Drosophila melanogaster: one gene and its partners. Changing the gene in region 1 together with any one later gene gives a genetic interaction. Each region holds a gene or a part of one and is shown in the gene's direction. Other genes may lie near its edges.

Evidence for each region.
Region 2: of br (region 1) and Met, changing one enhances a phenotype caused by changing the other (phenotypic enhancement), as found in Drosophila melanogaster (2 studies listed by BioGRID).
Region 3: of br (region 1) and LIMK1, changing one enhances a phenotype caused by changing the other (phenotypic enhancement), as found in Drosophila melanogaster (one study listed by BioGRID).

Annotation. Positions count from the first base shown.
Region 1 is NC_004354.4:1,610,404-1,614,159, forward strand, and holds the start of br (broad), read left to right. Parts: upstream 1-1,937; 5' UTR 1,938-2,400; intron 2,401-3,253; exon of another isoform or gene 3,254-3,542; intron 3,543-3,756.
Region 2 is NC_004354.4:11,614,111-11,617,866, forward strand, and holds the start of Met (Methoprene-tolerant), read left to right. Parts: upstream 1-2,013; 5' UTR 2,014-2,757; coding exon 2,758-3,756. Other genes in the region: CG1703 (uncharacterized protein), read left to right, coding at 1-845; RPA3 (replication protein A3), read right to left, coding at 1,235-1,336, 1,408-1,644.
Region 3 is NC_004354.4:12,590,535-12,594,290, reverse strand, and holds the start of LIMK1 (LIM domain kinase 1), read left to right. Parts: upstream 1-2,097; 5' UTR 2,098-2,360; intron 2,361-3,756. Other genes in the region: CG1824 (uncharacterized protein), read left to right, coding at 1-415, 679-1,284, 1,343-1,591. UniProt on the Drosophila melanogaster protein: Protein kinase which regulates actin filament dynamics. Phosphorylates and inactivates the actin binding/depolymerizing factor tsr/cofilin, thereby stabilizing the actin cytoskeleton.

The DNA of each region.
Region 1 (3,756 bases):
CTGCCTTCTGCCTTCGACGTCGGCGTCTACGCCGTCAGGTTGTTGTCGAGGTTGTTGGCTGCCTGCGACTCCGTTTGCGCCGCCTAGAGGTTAATGCCGGTTGTAATTGCAAAGCACCCAACCCGAAACCGGAGACCCAACAAAGGAGCGGAGCTTAGAGCGACTACAGTGGTCCCTGCCCGCGCGACTCGCCTCTTTCTGGCTAATCTGTGACTCGGTGACATTTGCGATGATCTTGAAACAACCATAAACCGAACGAGACGCAGCAATAAAGGCATTATGGGTACGTAGGTAATGTTGTGTATATGGTACGTGTAGATACATTTATACGTTTATGAATCGGCAAGAGGTCACTGCAGACAGGGAAACCTTAACAAAACAACACTCAAGACAATTCTTGAAAAATGCTAACGTGAGTGCGAGACCAGCAGAATTAAAAAACCAAAATCGCCACGCATGAATCTAAAAAATAAAAAAACCAAAAACAGCTCATAAAAATATCGGCGACAACAACAAGGGGATGCAGCAGTAAAATAAAAACGCTGCAAAAACAATTAAATTCGGACAAAAAAAAAAACTGGCAAACAAGATGCAAGTGGCAACAAGTTTCTCAGACTCAGTCGCTCAGTTTCTCCTCAGGGCCAGCAAATCTTCGCTCTGCAGTCTTCGGTCTTAAGTCTTTGTGCGTGCCAGGAGGTGGGGCGGGGGAGCAGGGAAATGGGAATCTGGGTTATGGCAAACAGGGGAGCCATGTAATAAAATGCGGTAATGGTAATGGTAATGGTAACCAAAATATTAAACAACTCTTCACCAACATCAGCAGAAAATGCAATTCCAAAGGGTGACGCAAGGGAGGGAAGGCAGGGGAAGGCCCTAAAAACAGGCCGACTTTGGATTTGGGTTTGCGTTTGGGATGGGGCTCGAAATGTGGGCTACACTTTCAATTGGAACCCTCTGTGGGGGTATGGTGGGAAGGGGGTACAGGCGGGTCGTGAAATCGGGCAATTCCGAGCCGAAGACGCACGACGATATTCTGCCTAAAAAAAAAAACGCTCCGATCGCCGCCGACTTTGTGTGCGTATGTACCGCTTTCTGTATCTTTGGAGTTACATAGGGGGAAAGTTGCATATTCCCCTACCCGTTCCCATTCCCCTTACCCCTCTCGCTCCATATCACTCTATTTACAATTTGCCGCTGCCGATCTGCGGATCTGCCCCAAACATTCGCGTTTGTAATTGCATCGGTGTGTGGGCGGCGCTCGTTGATTCGTTCGCTCGCCGACGACTTTGCATTTCATTTCCCCCAATTTTGTCGGCCTGACAATGAATAAACAAAACTTCTAAATGGGCAATACCAGAAAACACAACAGAATATACGGACAGCAGAAAAAAAAATAATAAAAAAACCACAACCACACACATGGAACCCCCGAAAAAAACGCAATTTTCGCTTGCTCGGCTTCGCCGCCGTCGCATGCGCAGAAAATTTGCTCGTTTTTTTGGCGACTGCGCTGCAGGCAGCGCTGTAAACTGCAGCGATCGGATCGAGTTGATCGCAGAACGCAGATCGCAGATCGCAGATCGCACTGCTGCCGCTGCCGCCGCCGTCGACGTCGCTGCACTCCAAAAAAGCGAAGGAAACACACAATCGCACACGAGAAGTATATAACAAAAAAGCGAGCAAATAAGGCAAAAAGTAAAAAGTAAAAAGCAAGAAGCGAAAAAAGCGAATGAAACATACAGGCGGCATAAGTATATACACACACACACATATATATCACAAACACTGGTGCACAGCGAATTCTCTGATTCAATTGGGCAGACGCACACACTCGCGCACACACCAATACACACGCACACTGGCAGAGGGCAGCGGCACAAGCCCAACACATTTAACTGCATTTTTTCGGAACTCAGTTGAGCTTTTTAATTCGATCGGTTCAGTTACTAAAGTTAGTTCAGCCTAAACGCACAATTTCAATTTCCATTTCTAAGTTTGAGCCCGAATTGAATAGCATTAGTGCCCACCCCACGCCTACCCTCGCACCACCGCACCAACGCACCACAGCAGTATCCAACACACACACGAGGACTGGACAATTCCCTCTGTTCTATTTTTTTGTGTTTTTTGTCAAGTGCACCCAAGCAAAGACCAAAGGACGCAAACCATCTAGTGCGCGATTCGCGCGCGTTTTGAATCAAAAGAATCTAAGAATCCAAGAATAGCTAAATCACTGAATCGCAGAATCAGGAGCGGAAAAAGCGAAAGCCAACCCCAAAAACCCAAAGCCCCAAAAGTTCAAGTGAATAATCAGTGTGCATCCCCAAGTAGTCGACCCAATGAAGCGCCGCCATGAGCAAGGATGCACCTACTGAGCGCAACTACAACCGCACCATCCAGGTAAGGGTTTCCTACATCCCATCCGACCCCATCCGCTTTGCTTTGTAGGGCAAACCGAACGTGCTGGAAGCTCCTTGATCTAGGGGCAGAGGGAGCCTAGCATCCAGATCTATATCGACATACACACACACACACATCCATATTCTCACACACGGTTGCAGGTACAGATACACACTGAAATTTGATTCGGATTCGTGGCCCGATCCATAAGAAGGACATTTGAGTCATCCGATGCAGCTGCCTGCTCTCTCCCTCTCTGCCTTTGGGCTCGGCTCTCCTCATTAGCACTTTGATGAAGAGTCACAAAAGCGGACGGACCGGGCCTAGACCCCTCCCTTCGAACTGTCCAAAAATTTCGGTGCATCTGCATACAAAGGCACACAAAGACGCACAGAGTGTACGGATACAGATACAGATACAGATGCAGCTACATATACATATACAGATACAGACACATATACTGTTACAGATACAGATGCACTGCAGGAAGCAGGGCAGCACAGTAGCCTCAGTCGCCTCTTTCAGCCCCGTTTCAGCTTCTCCACCCCTGGACTCTGCGCTGCATTGTTCCACTTCTACACTTCCACACTTCCCCACTTCCCCACTTCCCCACTTGTCCGCTACCCGCCACTCCTCGCTTTTTCGGCTGCAGTCTGTCAGTCAGACTGAGGCTTCGTGAAGCTCACGGCCAAGGCGAAGGCAGCTGAGGATCTGCACTCGGCCGAACACGAAGGCCGGTTGGGCAGGGTTCGGGAACGATCGAAAGCCAGCCCGAAACGGCGGAACTGCAGTTTGCTGTTCAGCGTCGCACTGAGCAAACGTCGTGTGGCAGCTCATCGCCAATTGCGAATTGCAAACTGCAAACTGAGTACCGTAAATCGCTCGCGCAAAGTGCAAGTCGCGCTGAATTCGCAAGTTCACATAATATCGGCATCCGCATATCCGCATATCTGTATATCTGCACATCCGCAAGCAGCTTGCTTCCACGCCAATTTTGTTTTCGTTGCGTTTATATTTTTTTTTCTGTTGATGTTTCTCGTTATATACATAGTATCCTTTTAGCAACCCACTCAGGCTTTTGCTGATTCTATTTCGATCGCAATCGGTCTCAGGAATCAATCTCAGGATTAGCTCTACGGCAGGTAAGTCACGTGAGGAGCGGTGGTGTTTCTGAAACTTTTGCTTTCAATGGGTTTGCTTCTGGAACTGGGCCAACAGCGAGACTCAAATGGCCAGACAGGCACGCAGTCAAGCGGTTTGGTGACAGGGTCCCCACTACTCCTGCTGCTTCTCCTGCTCCACCCACCGATCTGTAGGAAAGGTGGTAACGCCAGCTTCTTCTTTTTGTTCTCCCAG
Region 2 (3,756 bases), about 10 Mb from region 1:
AGAAGCAGAAGGAATCGCTCACACGCAAGCAGGAGAAGAACAAGTCTAAGCAGCAGAAACAGGACGAGGATGAGGGACCTCAGGAGCTGTTGGCCAGGCCCAAGGAATATATTGTCAAGTTCCGCTTCCCGGAGCCATCGCAGCTCCAGCCACCCATTCTGGGTGTCCACAATGTCACCTTCGCCTTTCCGAGCCAGAAACCGCTGTTCATCAAGGTTGACTTTGGCATTGATCTAACTAGTCGAGTGGCCATCGTGGGACCCAATGGTGTGGGCAAATCAACCTTCCTCAAGCTGCTGCTCGGTGAATTGGAACCGCAGGAGGGTGAGCAGCGCAAGAATCACCGACTTCATGTGGGCCGCTTCGATCAGCACTCAGGTGAACATCTCACGGCAGAGGAATCGGCTGCAGAGTACCTGCAGCGTCTGTTCAATCTGCCCCACGAAAAGGCGCGTAAGGCATTGGGTTCCTTTGGTTTGGTCAGTCATGCACACACCATCAAGATGAAGGATCTGTCCGGTGGTCAGAAAGCCCGTGTGGCCCTCGCTGAGCTATGCTTGAGTGCGCCGGATGTACTAATTCTCGATGAGCCTACGAACAATCTGGACATCGAGAGTATCGACGCCTTGGCGGAGGCAATCAACGAGTACGAGGGTGGCGTGATCATCGTCTCCCACGACGAGCGTTTGATCCGTGAAACAGGTTGCACTCTCTACGTAATTGAGGATCAGACGATCAACGAGATTGTTGGAGAGTTCGATGACTACAGAAAGGAGGTTCTCGATTCGCTCGGCGAGGTGGTCAACAATCCTAGCGTGGTGGCCAATGCGGCTGTGCTGCAATAACCCTCAAGTTGCATACGGACTTGGAGTCCATGCAACTGGTCATCACTCGTCAGCTGGCTCGCCCTATGTTAATTGTTCAACTGTTGAATTGATTATCTGCTAGTTAGTCTTTTTATACCAACATATATACAATAACAAATTGTGGAAGTAAATGTTATTACACAAGAGCGTTTAAGAATGTGTTGTTTATGTTATTAAATTGTGGGTATTAAGTATTTGTTGTAGAATATACGTGGAACTGGTTAAAACACCCGTAAATTGTACTCGTAATATATGTAGATAGATGATTTATATTTAAAGTTAATGCCAGCTCTGAGTGTTCTCCAAAAAAATGGAAAAAATAACATTAGAGTACATAATATTAATTCTTAGATATAATTGTGGACATCCTAGCCGCTGCGATAGAAGGCCTTGACATTGTTAATCAGGTGGCTCAATCCATTATAGCCATCCTTATCGAAGTCGATGTTCTCGCCGCCAAACTCGATGACCTGCAAATGAATAGTGGGCAAATGGTTTGGGATCATTGAAATAAATGACTCCATGGATTGAGTGCACCCACCTCCTTGGCCCTGAGGGTGTCCGCACCATGGGGCACTCCAATGACCTCGACCCAGGCCCCTTCGGCGGCGCCCAGCTCACCCGGCAGATTGATCTTTAGCTTGTGGTTGTCTGTGGAACTGGCCAGCAAAGTGGATCCCGCGACGCTCTCCACGCGAACCATTATGCTCACGGTTTGGCCGGAAAACTGCTTCAGCATGCCGCCGTTGATAATCGAGCGTGGATCAAAGGCATCCATAATAACTCCTCAGTTAATAACGTTCAAAAAACAGCCAATTTCAGCAGAAAATGAAATGCCGTAAACAAGAAAGAGCGCCAATAGTTATCGAGCGTGCTAATCGATAATAAAATTGCATGACGTCTGCTATCGAAATTATTCGAATTTTGTAGCAAAAATATTTATGGATTTATTGTAACATCAAAAGTTATTACATTATTACTGTGGACTTATGTATTATAATAAGAATTAATAAAAATAATTTATAATAGAATTATAAAAAGACCTGATAGATTACATGTATTACAACAATGTTATCGACAGCGAACAAGATGTTCGAATCTTTCTGATATTTTGTCCGGTGTGAACGTGCGAATTTTAGTACGACAACCAGTTACATCGATGTATCGATAGTTTTTAGACTGGCCAATGTTTATTGTTATAAAATAAATGTTACAAATAAACAATTAATCACTTAGTATAAACAAAAATAAGTGCAAGCAGCAAGTGCGTTGTTAAAACGACCGCCGCCCTCCGAATTTCCTTATTGCGGGCATTAAATCGCAACAACAACAACGCCACCAGCAACAGCAACAACAATAAGCAGGAGATTCAGATTCGCAACGCAATCAAAACGTAAAAAAAAAACGAAAAATAAAAAACTACAAGGCGAAACGCATAAATAAATAGGGAAGCAAATAATAGTAATAATAAGACTAAAAGCAAGTGGAAAAGTACGAAAGCGAAAAGAGAAAACATATGTACGTTGCGTGAGAGTGACGTGTGTGTGTGTGTGTCAGTGAGCGAAGGAGAGTGAGCGAGAGAGGGGAGGCGAGCAAAAACAAAAACAACAGCACAGCATAAGCGAGACCTTGAAAACTTTAAAAGCAGCAAAAAAAACAAGACAACAGCCAAAAATAAGAAACTAAAAGCTGCAAAAGTAATAAAAAATATATTTTAGCCGAAAAATTTCCATAATAACAATTCTAGAAGTGCGGAGCGTACACCCTGTTATGGAGAGTGACGATTTTCATTTACCGCAAGGCGCCAATTAAAGGGGAAAATCCATAAATCGAGGATTACAAGTGGAAAACAAGGAGGCAGTAACTCCAGAAAACGCCCAAAAAGTCCAAAATGGCAGCACCAGAGACGGGCAACACGGGCTCCACAGGATCCGCTGGCTCGACAGGATCGGGATCGGGATCGGGATCGGGAAGTGGGAGCTCCTCAGATCCAGCGAATGGACGGGAGGCCCGTAACCTTGCCGAAAAACAGCGACGGGATAAGCTTAATGCCAGCATCCAGGAGCTGGCCACCATGGTACCACATGCAGCCGAATCCTCCCGTCGCCTGGACAAAACCGCCGTCCTTAGATTCGCCACCCATGGCCTGAGACTTCAGTATGTCTTTGGCAAGTCCGCTTCCAGACGTCGCAAGAAAACCGGCCTCAAGGGAACGGGTATGTCTGCCTCACCTGTCGGAGATCTACCCAATCCCAGTCTGCATCTAACGGACACTCTAATGCAACTGCTGGACTGCTGCTTCCTCACCCTAACCTGCAGTGGCCAAATCGTTTTGGTATCCACCAGCGTGGAGCAGCTATTGGGTCACTGTCAGTCCGATTTGTATGGCCAGAATCTACTGCAGATCACGCATCCCGATGATCAGGATCTGTTAAGACAGCAGCTAATACCCAGGGATATAGAGACCCTGTTCTATCAGCATCAGCACCACCAGCAGCAGGGGCACAATCCCCAGCAGCACTCCACTTCCACGTCGGCCTCAACTTCGGGCAGTGATCTGGAGGAGGAGGAAATGGAGACGGAGGAACACCGTCTGGGTCGGCAGCAGGGAGAGGCGGACGATGACGAGGATCACCCGTACAACCGACGAACACCCAGCCCGCGGAGAATGGCCCATTTGGCGACCATTGATGACCGACTACGCATGGATCGGCGCTGCTTTACCGTCCGCTTGGCTAGGGCTTCCACGCGAGCGGAGGCCACGCGTCATTACGAGCGGGTTAAGATCGATGGCTGCTTTCGTCGCAGTGACTCCTCCTTAACCGGAGGTGCCGCTGCCAACTATCCGATTGTCTCCCAGCTGATACGACGCTCGAGAAACAACAATATG
Region 3 (3,756 bases), about 11 Mb from region 1:
TGAATACCGCGAGATGCAGCTGTTCGAGGCGGAGACCAATGAGGCGGCTCGCCTGGCGCAGAAACTCGGCTACGGCATCGCAATCTTCCAGGGCCTGACCAACTTCTTCCTCAATACACTAGTCCTATCTACGCTCTTTATGGGCGGCCACCTCATGTCTACGGAGAGTCTGTCGCCGGGTGCTCTGATGGCCTTCCTGGTCGCTTCGCAGGGTGTGCAGCGATCCCTTGCCCAGGGATCCATCCTGCTGGGCACCATGATCAGAGGCATGTCGGCCGGCAGTCGAGTCTTCGAGTTCCTATCGCTGCAGCCACAGGTGGAATTGCTGCGCGGCTACATCATCCCGCAGGAGCGGCTGCACGGCGAGATTCGATTCGAGAACGTCTCATTCGCATATCCCATGCAACCCGATCATGTGAGTTGTATTAAAGTATATCTTCATTTCATTCTCGAGACAATGATGGCATATTTACATTAATCGATGCTCTGTAATTTGTAAACTCGCCACTTTTTTATATAATATTGAATAACTTCTTATCGCTTCCGCAAGTAGATAACCATTTTATAATACCCACAAACATTTATGGCCAATATTTACGGCTAAGTGATAAAAAGATTAGAGTCTAGGCAATGCAAACAGTAATGAACTTCCTATGTCAATTTTTGCTTCATTCACAGCTGGTGCTCAAGGACTTTAGCCTGACGCTCCGCCCGGGCCAGACGGTGGCCCTGGTGGGAGCCAGTGGATCGGGCAAGTCGACGATAGCGTCGCTGGTGGAACGCTTCTACGAACCATCGGCGGGCAATATCAAACTGGACGGCTACAAGCTGTCGGACATATCGCCCTATTGGCTGCGGTCCAATGTCCTCGGTTTCATCGAACAGCAGCCGGTGCTGTTTGGCACATCGATATTGGAGAACATCCGATATGGTAAACCAGATGCGGGCGAGGAGGATGTGTATGCGGCAGCGCGTCTATCACAATCGCACGACTTTGTGACCGCCCTGCCCGATGGATATGCGACGCATGTGGGCGAACGGGGCACCCAGTTGAGCGGCGGTCAGCGGCAACGCATCGCCATTGCACGGGCGCTGCTCAAGAATCCGCGCATCCTCATCCTCGACGAGGCGACGAGTGCCTTGGACGCCACCAGCGAGGCGGAAGTGCAGAAGGCACTCGATACAGTGGTCCAGAATCGCACCACTCTGGTGATTGCCCATCGCTTGTCCACGATACGAAACGCTGACCTCATTGTCGTCCTTGATCAGGGACGCGTCGTGGAGGTGAGTTGTCCTAGACCATTGGTATCTTCAGAAATATTTATATTTTCCCTTGTTTTAGACCGGCAAACATGACGAACTGATGGGCAAGCGGGGCCTGTACTTTGAGCTGGTGCGTCAGCAGGAACGACGGGACATCCAGGAGCAAGTCCAGGCGGTGGAGGACGTTGTGGCCGTCAAGGAGCAGCAGGCAACTGCAACAGAAACTTCAACAGCCGCAACAATTGCAACTGCCGCAGAAACTTCCGCAGCAACAGTGACAGTGGGGAGCAGCAGCTTCGGTGGCAGGGCAAACGCAGCGCAAGGATAGTGACGATGTTAGGCAAATTGAATGATTCCCTATACACTTAATTTAATATTCTTATAATGTTTTCACTTTTTTTTTTGTTTTCAACTGACCAAAAACAAAAATGGTGAGAGACGCTAACAATAAGTATACAATAAAATAAACGCTGAAGACAGTATTGTTTTTGTTATAAACAGAAAGTATTTCATTGTCATTATCGCTAAATTCACCGGGTTCATTAAAAATAGATGGGATGCGTGAACTTAAATTAAAGTTTGAAAAACTGAATATAAAACACTTGAAATCCCAATTTCCGTTAAATAATATATTCAATGGGACCGCATTATTTCTACAACCATACTCATATACGGTCACTCGAAGATTAAAGAAAAACTATTTCAATATTCAATTCTGTTCAATATTTCTTGTTAGTGACAAGCAGCGTGTTTATAATAAAAAATTTGTTCATTAAAGAGTTTATATATTTTTTAAGTTGATTGGCAGCTAGACGATAGTTTTGAGATTCTTTAATGACAGTCCTACGGTCACACTGGCTGAATTGTATTTTATTTTGTGTAGTTTTGTTGTTGTTTTGTTTATTATGCATTTCTTTTTTATTGTTTGAGTTAGCGAGCTGTGCGTCGCGTCGGCATTTAAACAAAATCCGCGGCATTTCGGTAGTTGCGATTAATAATTGCTTGGCGGGAATTACAGTCGAATAAGAAATTGGCGAGGAAAAACCAACAAATGTGCAATGTGCGTCAAGTCAATAGCAATACAAACGAACAATTATGTAAGTGTGTGTGTGTGTTTGGTTTAGTTTAGTGTACAAGTCCAGCAAAAAACAATAAAATCTAAGTAAAAAACCAGTTGTTGTTGCTATTGGCTTTGCTAATGTCGTGTTGTTCCCGTTCCCCCACACACATTTTCTAACAGCGCGTGCATGTGTGTGTGTGTGTGTGTGTGTGCAGCACCTGTACGCGTGTGTGTGTGTGCTTCTGCCTCCGCACAGTGGACACATTCCTGAATTTTGGAGTCCAAAAATATGCAAATTGCCTGAGTGAATTAATTGACTTAATTAACAAAAATTGGACCGCAAGTTATGATAACCATAGTTGATTAAACGGAATTAGTTTCTAGCGGGACTAGTGCGACAAATACTCAAACTTACTTGATTTTTTACCATTCGTTCCATTCGTAAACCTAGCTTGTCTTGGCTATTTTATAGACTTCAGTCAGGGTGGCACACCCACTCATTTCCAATCTCTTCAAAGCAAAATCACAGCACTGTGATATGGTTGGTTAAAGTAAAAGTTCAATGGGTTAAGCAGGTGATTAAAGGCACATTAACCCCTAATGGAGCTTGGACTGCACTTAACGCACGGCTCACATGTGACCACTGTGCGCGCGTGCAAGTGTGTGCGTGTGCATTCGTCATTCATTGGTCATGTTTATGCGGTCGGAAGAGGGACGTGCACAACAACTACAGTTAGCTCAGCTGAAGTGCAATTGCGATTGCAGTTGATCCAAAGAGTCGCGTTTGTTGTTGCATCAACCGGAGTTTTCACGGTCAATGTTGAGCTATATCCATAAATACACAAACATTCATGTGTATTTGCATATACATATGTATGTCCATATGCATATATCCATGGATTATGCATGCAAATCGATGATGGAAATCAGGCGGTATAGCGAATTCCGATGGGGGGCAGCTGACTCAGGATCGAAGTCTTTATCACTGAACCCTAAACTAATGACTACCGGACTCAATTATTTTGTTTTGTTCGGTCATTTTGTTTAGTACGCAAAAATATTTACATGGCTATCGCTTTAGCAATAAAGTTCGAATTGCTGTCCCAGTATATCATAAAAAATCACGGAGAGTTTTGAATGCAATTGGTTTTGAAAAATGCCAAACCTTCCTATCATTAACACTTAAATCAGTTAGAAAAACTAATATAATACTATATTAGTTGATAATAAATGCATTTCATGTATGATATCATTGTAGATATCTTTTTTCTCAACGTTAATGATAATGGGTAAAGATAGCTTATTTATAGACCTACATTGCCTATATGATATTTGCTTAGTTTCCACTGGTTCATATCGACCTGTTGACGATAATTGGCCAAGTTCCGTGACTGCTGGTCTATATTTACTATATTTAATACCTATTCCGTCAT